Callithrix jacchus: one gene and its partners. The protein of the gene in region 1 interacts with the protein of each later gene in a biochemical or structural test. Links are inferred from orthologs where the notes say so. Each region holds a gene or a part of one and is shown on either strand. Other genes may lie near its edges.

Region 1 (3,652 bases):
TCAGCCTCCTGAGTAGCTGGGATGCACCACCACACCCGGCTAATTTTGTATTTTTAGTAGAGATGAGGTTTCTCCATATTGGTCAGGCTGGTCTCACATTCCTAACCTCAGGTGATCCGCCTGTCTCAGCCTCTGAAAGTGCTGGGATTACAGGCATGAGCCACTGCCCAGATACATTTTTCCCTTCTGTCTGGGTAAGCAGGTGGGTCACCCACTATCTAGTGGCTCTGTCTGGGTAAGCAGGTGGGTCACCCACTGTCTAGTGGTTCTGTACTAAAACAGGAACGTTCTATGGATGTGGTGGCTCACCCCTATAATTCTAGCACTATGGGAAGCTGAAACTTGAGCTCAGGAGTTCTAGACCAGCTTGGGCAACATGGTAAAACCCCATCTCTACTAAAAAAATACAAAAAATCTATTCAGGCTTGGTGGCACGCACCTGTAGTCCCACTTACTTGGGGAGCTGAGGCAGGAAGATGGCTTGAAACTGGCAGGTTGAGGCTGCAGTGAGCACAGAGCCACTGCACTCTGGTCTGGGCGACAGAGGGAGACCCTGTCCCAAACAAACAGGAACCATTCTAGATAAATCAGGATGAGTTGGTCATGGTAGAACTGAGGTTTCACTAAGAATAACTGTGTCTTTGGGCAAGTTACTTCACTCGTTTGTGCCTCAGTTTCCTGATTTGTAAAAGGAACACAACAATAACTACTATGATGGGTTTTAGGAGGTCACAGTAATATGTTTTGTGAACAGGCCAGGTATGGTGGCTCACGCATGTAATTCCAGCAATTTGGGAGGCCAAGGCTGGGGGATCATTTGAGGTCGAGATTTCAAGACCAGCCTGGCCAACATGGCGAACACCCACCCGCCACCCCCCCGGTCTCTACAAAAATATAAAAATTATTTGGGTGTGGTGGCAGCTACCTGTAATCGCAGCTACTCAGAAGGCTGAGGGAAGAGAATCACTTGAACCTGGGAGGCAGAGGTTGCAGTGAGCCAGGACCACACCACTGCACTCCAGCCTGGGCAACAGAGTGAGACTCTGTCTCAAAAAATATATATATGGGCCAGGCGTGGTGGCTCACACCTGTAATCCAAGCACTTTGGAGGCCAAGGCGGGCAAATCACCTGAGGTCGAGAGTTCAAGACCAGCCTGACCAACATGGTGAAACCCTGTCTTTAAAAAAAAAAAATATATATATATATATATATATATGAACAGTCCTTAGAATATTGTCATGCCCATAGTGAGTGCTCAGTACGTTTCCTATTACCACGTATAAATTGGGTCACCAGAGTAGGAAAACCTTGGCTGCTGGAGCTTAACAGGTCTGGGTGAATCCTTATTTATTTTATTTATTTTTTATTTTTATTTTTTGAGATGGAGTCTTGCTCTGTCACCCAGACTAGAGTGGCAGTGCGGCGATCTCAGCTCACTACAACCTCTGCCTCCTGAGTTCAAGCGATTCTCAAGCCACAGTCTCCGGAGTACCCGGGATTACAGGTGTCTGCCACCATGCCCAGCTAATTTTTGTATTTTTAATAGACGGGGTTTTACCATGTTGGCCAGGCTGGTCTCGAACCCCTGACCTCAACTGATCTGCCTGCCTCAGCCTTCCAAAGTGCTGGGATTACAGGTGTGAGCCACCACGCCCAGCCCCGCCCCCTTTTAAAATAAAGATCAGTATCCTCCTGACATCCCACATGACCTCTTTGGTGACAAAAGAGCAGCAGCTCTCAGCATCCATGTGGTGTCTTGCAGTGCAGGAATCAAAGTGTTGGGCTTTGGCGTCAGGCAGGACTGGGTTCAGGTCCCAGCTCTGCCATATACTCATTTTATAGTCGGGCAAGTGGAGTAAGCTCTCTCTGTGCCTCAGTTCCCTCATCTGTGAAATGTGTATGAGAGTGCCCACTCCACGGGGATGTTAGGAACAGAGAAGATTTTGCACGTGTGAAGTTCTTGGTGCTGAGGGCACAGTGGTCTGTAAGTGAAGCTGTGGCTCTCAGTGGCAGAAGGAGGTGCCCGATGGCCCTGGCTGAGAACTTTGTGTTGGCTTTTCCCCTTCTACTTCAGGACCAGTTACAGTTGTGGATTCGAGGCAACGTGAGCGCCTGTGCGAGGTCCATCTTCATATTCGATGAAATGGATAAGATGCATGCAGGTCTCATAGATGCCATCAAGCCTTTCCTTGACTACTACGACCTGGTGGATGGGGTCTCCTACCAGAAAGCCATCTTTATATTTCTCAGGTAAGGTCCGGGCTAGGACATGAGGGACGGGCCTCGAGCCTGAGCCTCTGAGCTCTGGGAGAAAACCCCGTCCTTACCCACTGGAACTGTTTTGCAGCAATGCTGGAGCAGAAAGGATCACAGATGTGGCTTTAGATTTCTGGAGGAGTGGAAAGCAGAGGGAAGACATCAAGCTCAAAGACATTGAACACGCCTTATCTGTGTCGGTTTTCAATAACAAAAACAGTGAGTAGGGCTGTCCACCACCAGTCCCATCTGGTTCCTAATCCTGCACCCTAATTGTGAAAGCGTTAGGGTCACCATCACCATCACCTGGGAGCTGGGTAGAAATGTAGATTCTCAGTCCCCTTCCGAGTCAGAACTCACGAGGGGAATCTTTGTTGACAAACTCCAGGTAACTTTAATGAACACTGATGTTTGAAAAGTGCTATTTTATTTTTATTTTTTTGGAGACAGTTTCACTATTGCCCAGACTGGAGTGCAGTGGCAAGATCTCGGCTCACTGAAACCTCCAGCTTCCGTGTTCGAGCAATTCTTGTGCCTCAGTCTCCCTTTTAGCTGGGATTGCAGGTGCACACCACCATGCCCGGCTAATATTTATATTTTTAGTAGAAATGGATTTTGTCATGTTGGCCATGCTGGTCTTGAACTCTTGACCTCAGGTGATCTGCCTGCCTGGGCCTCCCAAAGTGCTGGGATTACAGGCTTGAGCCACTGCGCCCAGTTTATTTTTTGAGACAGGATCTTGTTCTGTCACTCAGGCTGGAGTGCAATGGTGTGATCTCAGCTCACTGGAGTCTTGACATCCTAGGCTCAGCCACCCACGTAAGTGGAACCACAGACTTGTGCCGCCGTCTCTTTTTGTAGAGATGGGGTCTTCCTATGTTGCCCAGGCTGGTCTTGACTTCCTGGACTCAAGTGATCCTCCTGCCTCAGCCTCCCAAAGTGCTGGAATTACAGGCATGGGCTACCACACCTGGCCTGCTATTTTAAGTAATGAGGAAAATTGTTGGTCGTTGAGATCTTGAAGATTAGTTCCCCCCTCCCTTTTTTTCTTTTTGAGATGGAGTTTAGCTCTTGTTGCCCAGGCTGGAGTGCAGTGGTGCTGTCTCAGCTCACTGCAACTTCCACCTCCCAGGTTCAAGTGATTCTTCCACCTCAGACTCCTAAGTAGCTGGTATTACAGGCGCCTGCCACCAGACCTGGCTAATTTTTGTATTTTTAGTAGAAACGTGGTTTTACCGTGTTAGCCAGGCTGGTCTTGAATTCCGGACCTCAGGTTATCTGCCCAATCCGCCCATCTCGGCCTCTCAAAGTGCTGGGATTATAGGTGTGAGCCACCACGCCCAGTCAGTTCCCCCATTTTCTTCAGCTACGTGATTTTCTTCGTAGAAGAAAGAG
Region 2 (3,652 bases), on another chromosome or scaffold:
CTTGTGATCCGCCCGCCTCAGCCTCCCAAAGTGTTGGGATTACAGGCGTGAGCTACCGCACCAGGACCAGAGTCTAGCTCTTTAAGAGTCACATAGTGTCATGAACAGTTTTCTCTGTGTTAGTTTTTGTTTTGTTTTTTTAATAAAAAAATGTTGGTGGCCAGTCTAGTGGTTCACGCCTGTAATCCCAGAACTTTGGGAGGCCAAGGCAGGGCGAATCATAAGGTCAGGAGATCAAGACTATCCTGGCCAATATGGTGAAACCCTGACTCCACTAAAATACAAAAAATTAGCTGGGCATGGTGGTGAGTGCCTGTAGTCTCAGCTACTCAGAAGGCTGAGGCAGAGGAATCATTTGAACCCTGGAGGCAGAGATTGCAGTGAGTCAAGATCGCTCCACTCCAGCCTGTCGACAGAACGAGACTCCATCTCAAAAAAAAAAGTTAGCATATATATTTCAGATACTGAGTTACACTTGCCACTATCAAGAGGGAGTATTTTCAGTGGATCTCAAATGTTGACGAGTATTCTACTAATCTTATTAAATGGATTTGAAAGAAATATTTTCAAATTCACCATATAATGTGTTTCTGTAATATTGTCCTTTTTAGTACACAAATTGAGGTTAAGATCAGTAAAGATGAAAGCTGAAAAGAAACAAATTTTTTCAGCTTTGTTGAAGAATTCTAAATCATGTTACTTCTCCATGTATGATCCTTCAGTAATATTTTAACCCAAGTATGCAATACCTGCATTTGGGTACATCTTGCTTTTTTTTTTTTTTTTTTAATGTTTCGGAATAGCCCATGTAAAAATACTGTGTTTATTTGATATGTTTTGCTTGTTTATTTTTTTTCAAGTTCTGTTGCTCTGGAAAACAGTGATGAACATGGACCCGCCAGAACTAGAAGTTTCTTTACCTTTCTTCCTCATTGGGTACACCACTGCCCTAAAGAACTGGTTCATCAGTCCAGTTAGTGAAGTCAGTTATTTTTATTTTTTATTTTTATTTTTTTTTTGAGACAGAGTCTCGCTTTGTCACCCAGGCTGGAGTGCAGTGGCACAATCTCAGCTCACTGCAACCTCCACCTCCCTGGTTCAAGCAATTCTCTGCCTCAACTGAGGAGCTGGTGCCTGCCACCACACCCGGCTAATTTTTTTGTATTTTTAGTAGAGACAGGATTTCACCATCTTGGCCAGGCTGGCTGGTCTTGACCTCTTGACCTTGTGATCCACCTGTCCCGGCCTCCCAAAGTGCTGGGATTACAGGCGTGAGTCATGGCGCCCGGCCTGTAGTCTGTTTTTGAAGAGAGTATAGGGGATTTGGCAAGTCAGAGAATGAGAACATAGTAAACTTATACACACTAGAATATTTGTCAATGTAGAATTTAATGTTTTCTTCATATGTAAAGGTTACATTTTAGAGTAAAAATATACCTGTGAGTGAAGGAAAATTAAACACTTCATGTCTTTTTTGTTGTTGAGATGGAGTCTTGCTCTTTTGCACAGGCTGGAGTGCAGTGGTGCGATCTCAACTGCAACCTCTGCTTCCCAAGTTCAAACCATTCTCCTGCCTCAGCCTCCCGAGTAGCTGGGATTATAGGCATGCGCCACCACACCTGGCTGATTTTTGTATTTTTAGTAGAGACAGGGTTTCACCATGTTGGCCAGGCTGGTCTCGAACTCCTGACCTCAAGTGATCCACCTGCCTCAAGCCTCCCAAAGTGCTGGGATTATAGGCATGAGCCACCATGCCTGGCCAAACACTTCATTTCTTATTCTAGTGTATATCAGACTTATTTCTAAAGCAGCCTAGAAGAAAATGATAGATTCTTAGTGATTTAACAGAAAAAGAATTTTTTTAATGTGTCATTATGTCCATTTTCCTAAACTAGATGCTCTTATGTTTATTCCTGAGCTTTAGCTTTTGATGTTATATATTTAATATTTGATGTATGCTTTTTTCTTCTAGAAGCCACCAGTGTCCAACAGAAGGTCATTTTCTCCGAAGAAGGTATTTTATTTGTAAATGTCATACAATATATATTTGAAGTCTTTTTTTTATATTAGAAGCCATCTTGACAGATACTGAAGAAGTGAGAGCAATGCTGGGCTCTGTGGCACGTGCCTGTAGTCCCAGCTACTAAGGAGGCTGAAGCAGGAGGATCACTTGAGTCCAGGAGTAGTTCTGGGCTATAGAGTGCTATGCTGATCAGGTGTCTGCACTAAGTTTGGCATCAGTATGGTGACTTCCAGGGAGCGGAGGACCACAATGTTGGCTAAGGAGGGATGAATCCGCTCAGGTCAGAAATGGAGCAGGTCAAAACTCCCGTGATAATCATTAGTAAGATTGCACCTGTGCGTAGCCACTGCACTCCAGCCTGGGCAACATAGTGAGATGCCATCTCTTAAAAAAAAAAGTGATAACAGAAAATAATATATTTTTCTTCATGAAAAAAAATTATTGCTTATCTGAACTGTTAACAGGGCAGATAAAATAGGACAGATAGAATGAGTGATAACAGCCTTACATTTTAAGCATCTTTTGTCTATTTGGGTTCATTTTAAATACCCCTCTACCACAAACACACGCACAAACACATCTGAATTTAACTACACACTAATTATGTGTAGTTTTTCTCCCCATAAATTAAAATTTTTCTACTGTTTAATGCTCATCTGTTCATTTTTGACTCTACATTAAAACCTTAGAATATAGTGTTTTAGATATTACTCTGAATATTTATTTAGGAAAGTGTTATGTGCCCCAGAGAACACTAAATGAGCTAAATTTTAGTTCATTTGGAACTTTGGGATTCAAAATAATAAGCATAAAAAACAGCAGTTCTGTATCCGATAACCTAAAAGCCTTCTTTTAATGTTAAATTGTTTGTTTGGTTTTTTTGAATTCAGATATTTTGAGCATTAAAATAAGACTTTATTAGTATATTGTTTACTTCTCTTTAGGAGAAACTGAAGAAGATGATCAAGACAGCTCTCATAGCAGTGTCACTGTTGTTAAGACCAGATCCAGGGATTCTGATAAATCTGGAGGTAACATTGCTTTATACATATATGACTTTTCTTGTAGAAGCTATCTTTGGCATTCCATGAATTTGCTTTTTAAAAAAACTTTCTAATTTTTATTAATACTTTATAAAAAGTCATGAACTTTTAATATTTCTTAAAACTACTGATTTCATGTATACATCTGATTAATAATGTCATGCTTTCTAAACAGATCACTTTTGGCTTTTTTGATATTTGTGGAAAATAAGATATTTTTTGTGCTCACAAGAAGAGTGATTTGTTGTTTTTGAATTTTATAGAGAAACTAATCACATTGCCATTGGGACTGACAACACTGTCTGGAATGTGACTTTGGGAAGTTTTTATTTAATTAAATAACTGTTTTTATCTCTGGATTTTTCAAATTCAAACTAAGTTAGTAATTAACAGGTTCTGATTATTCATGTTAATTTAAGTTTATTCAATTAAAGAGTTGACTAAAGACTAGAGAGAGAAAAATATCAGTTTGAGGCTTAAGGTAATGCTGAACAAGACCCCTTCTCCCCAAAAAAGATAATGCTAAACAAGTTTGTAAACTCTGCAAATAATGAGTAATTTTATACTTTAGTCCTGCAGACAAGTG
Region 3 (3,752 bases), on another chromosome or scaffold:
CTTCTGACTTGGTGTTGTTTTTTTTTTCTCTCTCTCCCCTTCTCTGCCCTTGGTTTTCTTTGTTTTTTCTTTTGTTTTTGAGAAGGTCTCCCTCTGTTGCACAGACTGGAGTGCAATGGTGCTATCTTAGCTCACTGCAACCTCCACCTCCCAGGTTCAAATGATTCTTGTGCCTCAAGCCTGCCGAGAAGCTGGGAGTACAGGCCCCCACCACCACACCCAACTAACTTTTTTGTATTTTTAGTAGAGATGGAGTTTCACCATGTTGGCCAGGCTGATCTCAAATTCTGACCTCAAGTGATCCACCAACCTCAGCCTCCCAAAGTGCTGGGATTACAGGAATGAGCCATACATAACACCTGGCTTATTTGAACTATTAAAGGCAAAACCAGGCAGCTTCATTTGTGTAATTAAAACAAAACCCCAGAAGAAACCAATGTTTTAAAATTTGACTTTTTGCAAAAATGTCATTACATTTATTTACATGATATATACTCATGGTCAAGGGCTGAAGGAAAAATCTCTAAAAACCAAAACAATATGATTTGTTGAGGTAGTAGAATTACAGATAAATTTTCTTCCCAGAAATTTCAATTACCAAAATTATGTGCACAGATCATACCTGAGCCATGGCACACACACAAAAAAATCATGTGCCAACTCCTTTAAATATTAGTAAAGAGGAAAACAGCCCACACAGTGACAAAACAGGAATTCAAATCCAGCTATGACTCTAAAGTCTATGCTCATTATTGATGTTAGGGATGCCCTTTCTTATTCCCAAATGCTTGATTTCTGTGCAAAATTTATGATAATGTATGATCACCTACTAAATTCCTTCTTGTGGGACACAGTTTAATCCAGTGGTTCATATGATGCAGAAATATTAATGAAACTTTAACACAATTAAAATTCTAAATGGTAAATAAAAACAGCCAATTCTTCATTCTTTCCATTTTTTTTTGGAGGTTGTAGAACCTCCAGGTTAATGTGCCTTCATAGTTGGCTTAGTGAACAACCTCAAAGTGAGAAAGTAGACAAGGCTTCTTGAAGCAAACTTTCCTTCAGGAAATTCAAGTAGCACTTCAAAGAAGTGTGGATTTTCCTGGAATACAGTTTTGACTTCTGAGTTCATGGAAATGAATGGAATACAGAAATGACTTCTTAGGCAAAAATAAGTTATATACAAGATACAACGCATTATTAAAATACCCAATAATCCTCAAATAATTGGCTAAATTCTGAAGTTAAATTCTTTGTTAATTATTGAAGTTCTCAAGCTAACATTACCTCTACATTAGAAAGAAACTAGATAAAATAGTGCTTAAATGAGTCACCCAAGGTTACGTAATAAACCTGCAGAAAAACAGGTAATCAAGTTGTGGACTGCACGTTCAGCATAATAAACATTACTGAAGAGAGGCACTCAGTTCTCACAGCAAATGTTGGTTTTTCAAACTGTTCTAATCCACACAAAGGCTTCCAAGAACATCTATAGTTACTCTACTTCGAGTTCTTTTTTTTTTTTTTATTAAATGTTTCCACTGGCCCCTTTATACTCATCTTGTGCTGAAAAAATAAAACTCAAAAAACATGGATAGCTGCCACAGCTTAAAACAAAGAAAGGATCTTTCAAACAGATCCAAAATAAAATGTTTTAAAAACTAAAGACAGGTAAAACAAAACCAATATGTTTAATCTGTGTAACTTCATTTCTGGATCTGTGTAACAGTATCAAGTCTGATAATCACGCATTACTCATGAAGTAGAGAGTACTAAGAACTTTGTTAAAAGAAGGAAAAGGTGCAAACTTTTTTATCCGGTATGAAATACAACTGAGAGTATGGTACATACATAATATATAAGCAAAATGGTAGGAGGTCTTAATAAAACTACAAGTTTGTCCTTTTTAGCACCATGTTTTTTTTAATTACTATCTTTTCAGGATTAAGTTGATGAATGCTGAGATCCTAGGCCTGCCGGGCATGGAGTAATCGCCGCCTACACTAGTAGGAAAATTTCCCACTTACATTTCGAACCCTACAATAATTCTGCTTCTCACCTTAAAGTTTAAAGCTAAAAATTTACTCACATCTTAACCCGTTTAATATTTATAAGATTCTGTTTCTTTTTATCCCGAAACGAAAATATAACCCCAACCTACCTCGTTTACTGTTCAAGTGAGGCCAGGTGTGGTGGCTCAAGCCTGTAATCTCACCACTTTGGGAGGCCGAGGCGGGAGAATCACTTGAAGCCAGGCATTCGAGACCAGCCTGGGCAATATAGTGAGATCTTGTCTCTACAAAAATAAAAAATAAAGTAATTAGCGGGGCATGGTGTTGCGGGCCTGTAGTCCCAGCTATTCGGGAGGCTGAGGCGGGAGGATCGCTTGAGCCCAGGAGAACGGGGCTGCAGTGAGCTATGATCGCGACACCGTATTCTAGCCTGGGTGACAGGGCAAGTACCGGTCTCAAAAACAATAAAAATAAAAATATCGTTTGGGCAGTAGGGAGGTGGGGGTGGGGAGGGACCGTTTCTGAAAGCTCTTTTGAAAAATTCAGTATATCAGTTCCAATACTAAAACATAGAAAAGTTGTACAGTCATTTTGTTTACTTACAAATTCTGGCGGGGTTTTAAATCGTAGAACTGTTAGTATCAGGGGAGCCGTTCGAGTGCTCTTTCCACTCCACACCGCCCGGCTGCACCCAGCGGCCGCCGCGGCCCGAATGTCGTCCAGCGTCCCCGCCCATATGACCGACACTTTCCGCGGGAAGGAGCCCGTGGAATTCTGGGAGTAGTAGTCTCTGTGCCCTGCCTTCTGCCGCCTTCTCCTCCATCCTTCGCCCTCTACTGCCAGGTCGTCTTACCCAGCGATAGGCACGGTAAATGTGTGCAACCAACCTTCAAAGATCCCCGAGTTCTCAAGCTATCTGACAGGATTGCAGGAAACTCTGCAAGACGTCTGACCACCCTGACCCATATGACCTAACTCAGGACCAACACAGTGAGAACCAGTACCGAATAGAGGAGAATGTCCTCAAAAAGAGTTGCCTAATCTAATCTGTTTGCTCGTGTGTCAAATGGGGACGTTGTTTACTTCATAAGATTGTTATGAGTAAATTAGATGATGTATGCAGCGTGTCTACTAAATGACAGCAGTAACAAAAAATAGCTATTGCTATGATCTATTAATTTTATAAATGTGAAAATAAAGAGATGGTGAGCAACTTACCCAAGAACATACAATTGGTTGGGAGCAAAATCGAGTAAGTCTAAAACTCCTATTCCTGACCCACGCCAATTCAAGACAACACAGAAGAAATCTACTCATGTAAAACTCCTTTCCCCTTTCCTCATTTTTTTTCTGTAACAGTCCTGACCAACACACTATTTTACTTATTTTGATTTTTGCTTGACTCCTCCCATAGAATATAATCTCTAAGAAGACAGAAAACGTTTTTTTTCTTTCAGTCTATTTTGCACACAGCTGTATCCCCAGCACAGAGAACAGGGACTGCCTACTACATAGTACCTCAAGTATTTATTGAATTAATAATTCCTCATGTAATATGACTTTTGATGCCTTCATTTTCCAATCATCCTCTTTTGGCAGAAGTGACAGGATTTGGTAACACTCTTGGATGCTGTTTAATAATTAACTGCAATTTCTAATTCAACAAAGTAGAATACTATATTCCATTCACTTCATTGTGTTTAATTTCAGTGTCACATTTCCAGGTAGATATTTTCA

What was found.
Region 2: the proteins of TOR1A (region 1) and TOR1AIP1 form a complex in vitro, tested with the Homo sapiens proteins (2 studies listed by BioGRID and IntAct). The link is inferred for Callithrix jacchus from reciprocal best matches to the Homo sapiens genes TOR1A and TOR1AIP1.
Region 3: the proteins of TOR1A (region 1) and torsin-1A-interacting protein 2 form a complex in vitro, tested with the Homo sapiens proteins (4 studies listed by BioGRID and IntAct, with this or other methods). The link is inferred for Callithrix jacchus from reciprocal best matches to the Homo sapiens genes TOR1A and TOR1AIP2.

What each region holds. Positions count from the first base shown.
Region 1 is NC_133502.1:178,412,599-178,416,250, reverse strand, and holds part of TOR1A (torsin-1A), read left to right. Parts: intron 1-2,075; coding exon 2,076-2,251; intron 2,252-2,348; coding exon 2,349-2,476; intron 2,477-3,652. UniProt on the Homo sapiens protein: Protein with chaperone functions important for the control of protein folding, processing, stability and localization as well as for the reduction of misfolded protein aggregates.
Region 2 is NC_133519.1:23,476,275-23,479,926, reverse strand, and holds part of TOR1AIP1 (torsin-1A-interacting protein 1), read left to right. Parts: intron 1-1,972; coding exon 1,973-2,014; intron 2,015-2,967; coding exon 2,968-3,054; intron 3,055-3,652. UniProt on the Homo sapiens protein: Required for nuclear membrane integrity. Induces TOR1A and TOR1B ATPase activity and is required for their location on the nuclear membrane. Binds to A- and B-type lamins. Possible role in membrane attachment and assembly of the nuclear lamina.
Region 3 is NC_133519.1:23,493,185-23,496,936, reverse strand, and holds the start of torsin-1A-interacting protein 2, read right to left. Parts: upstream 2,730-3,752; 5' UTR 2,619-2,729; intron 2,300-2,618; 5' UTR 2,165-2,299; intron 1-2,164. UniProt on the Homo sapiens protein: Required for endoplasmic reticulum integrity. Regulates the distribution of TOR1A between the endoplasmic reticulum and the nuclear envelope as well as induces TOR1A, TOR1B and TOR3A ATPase activity.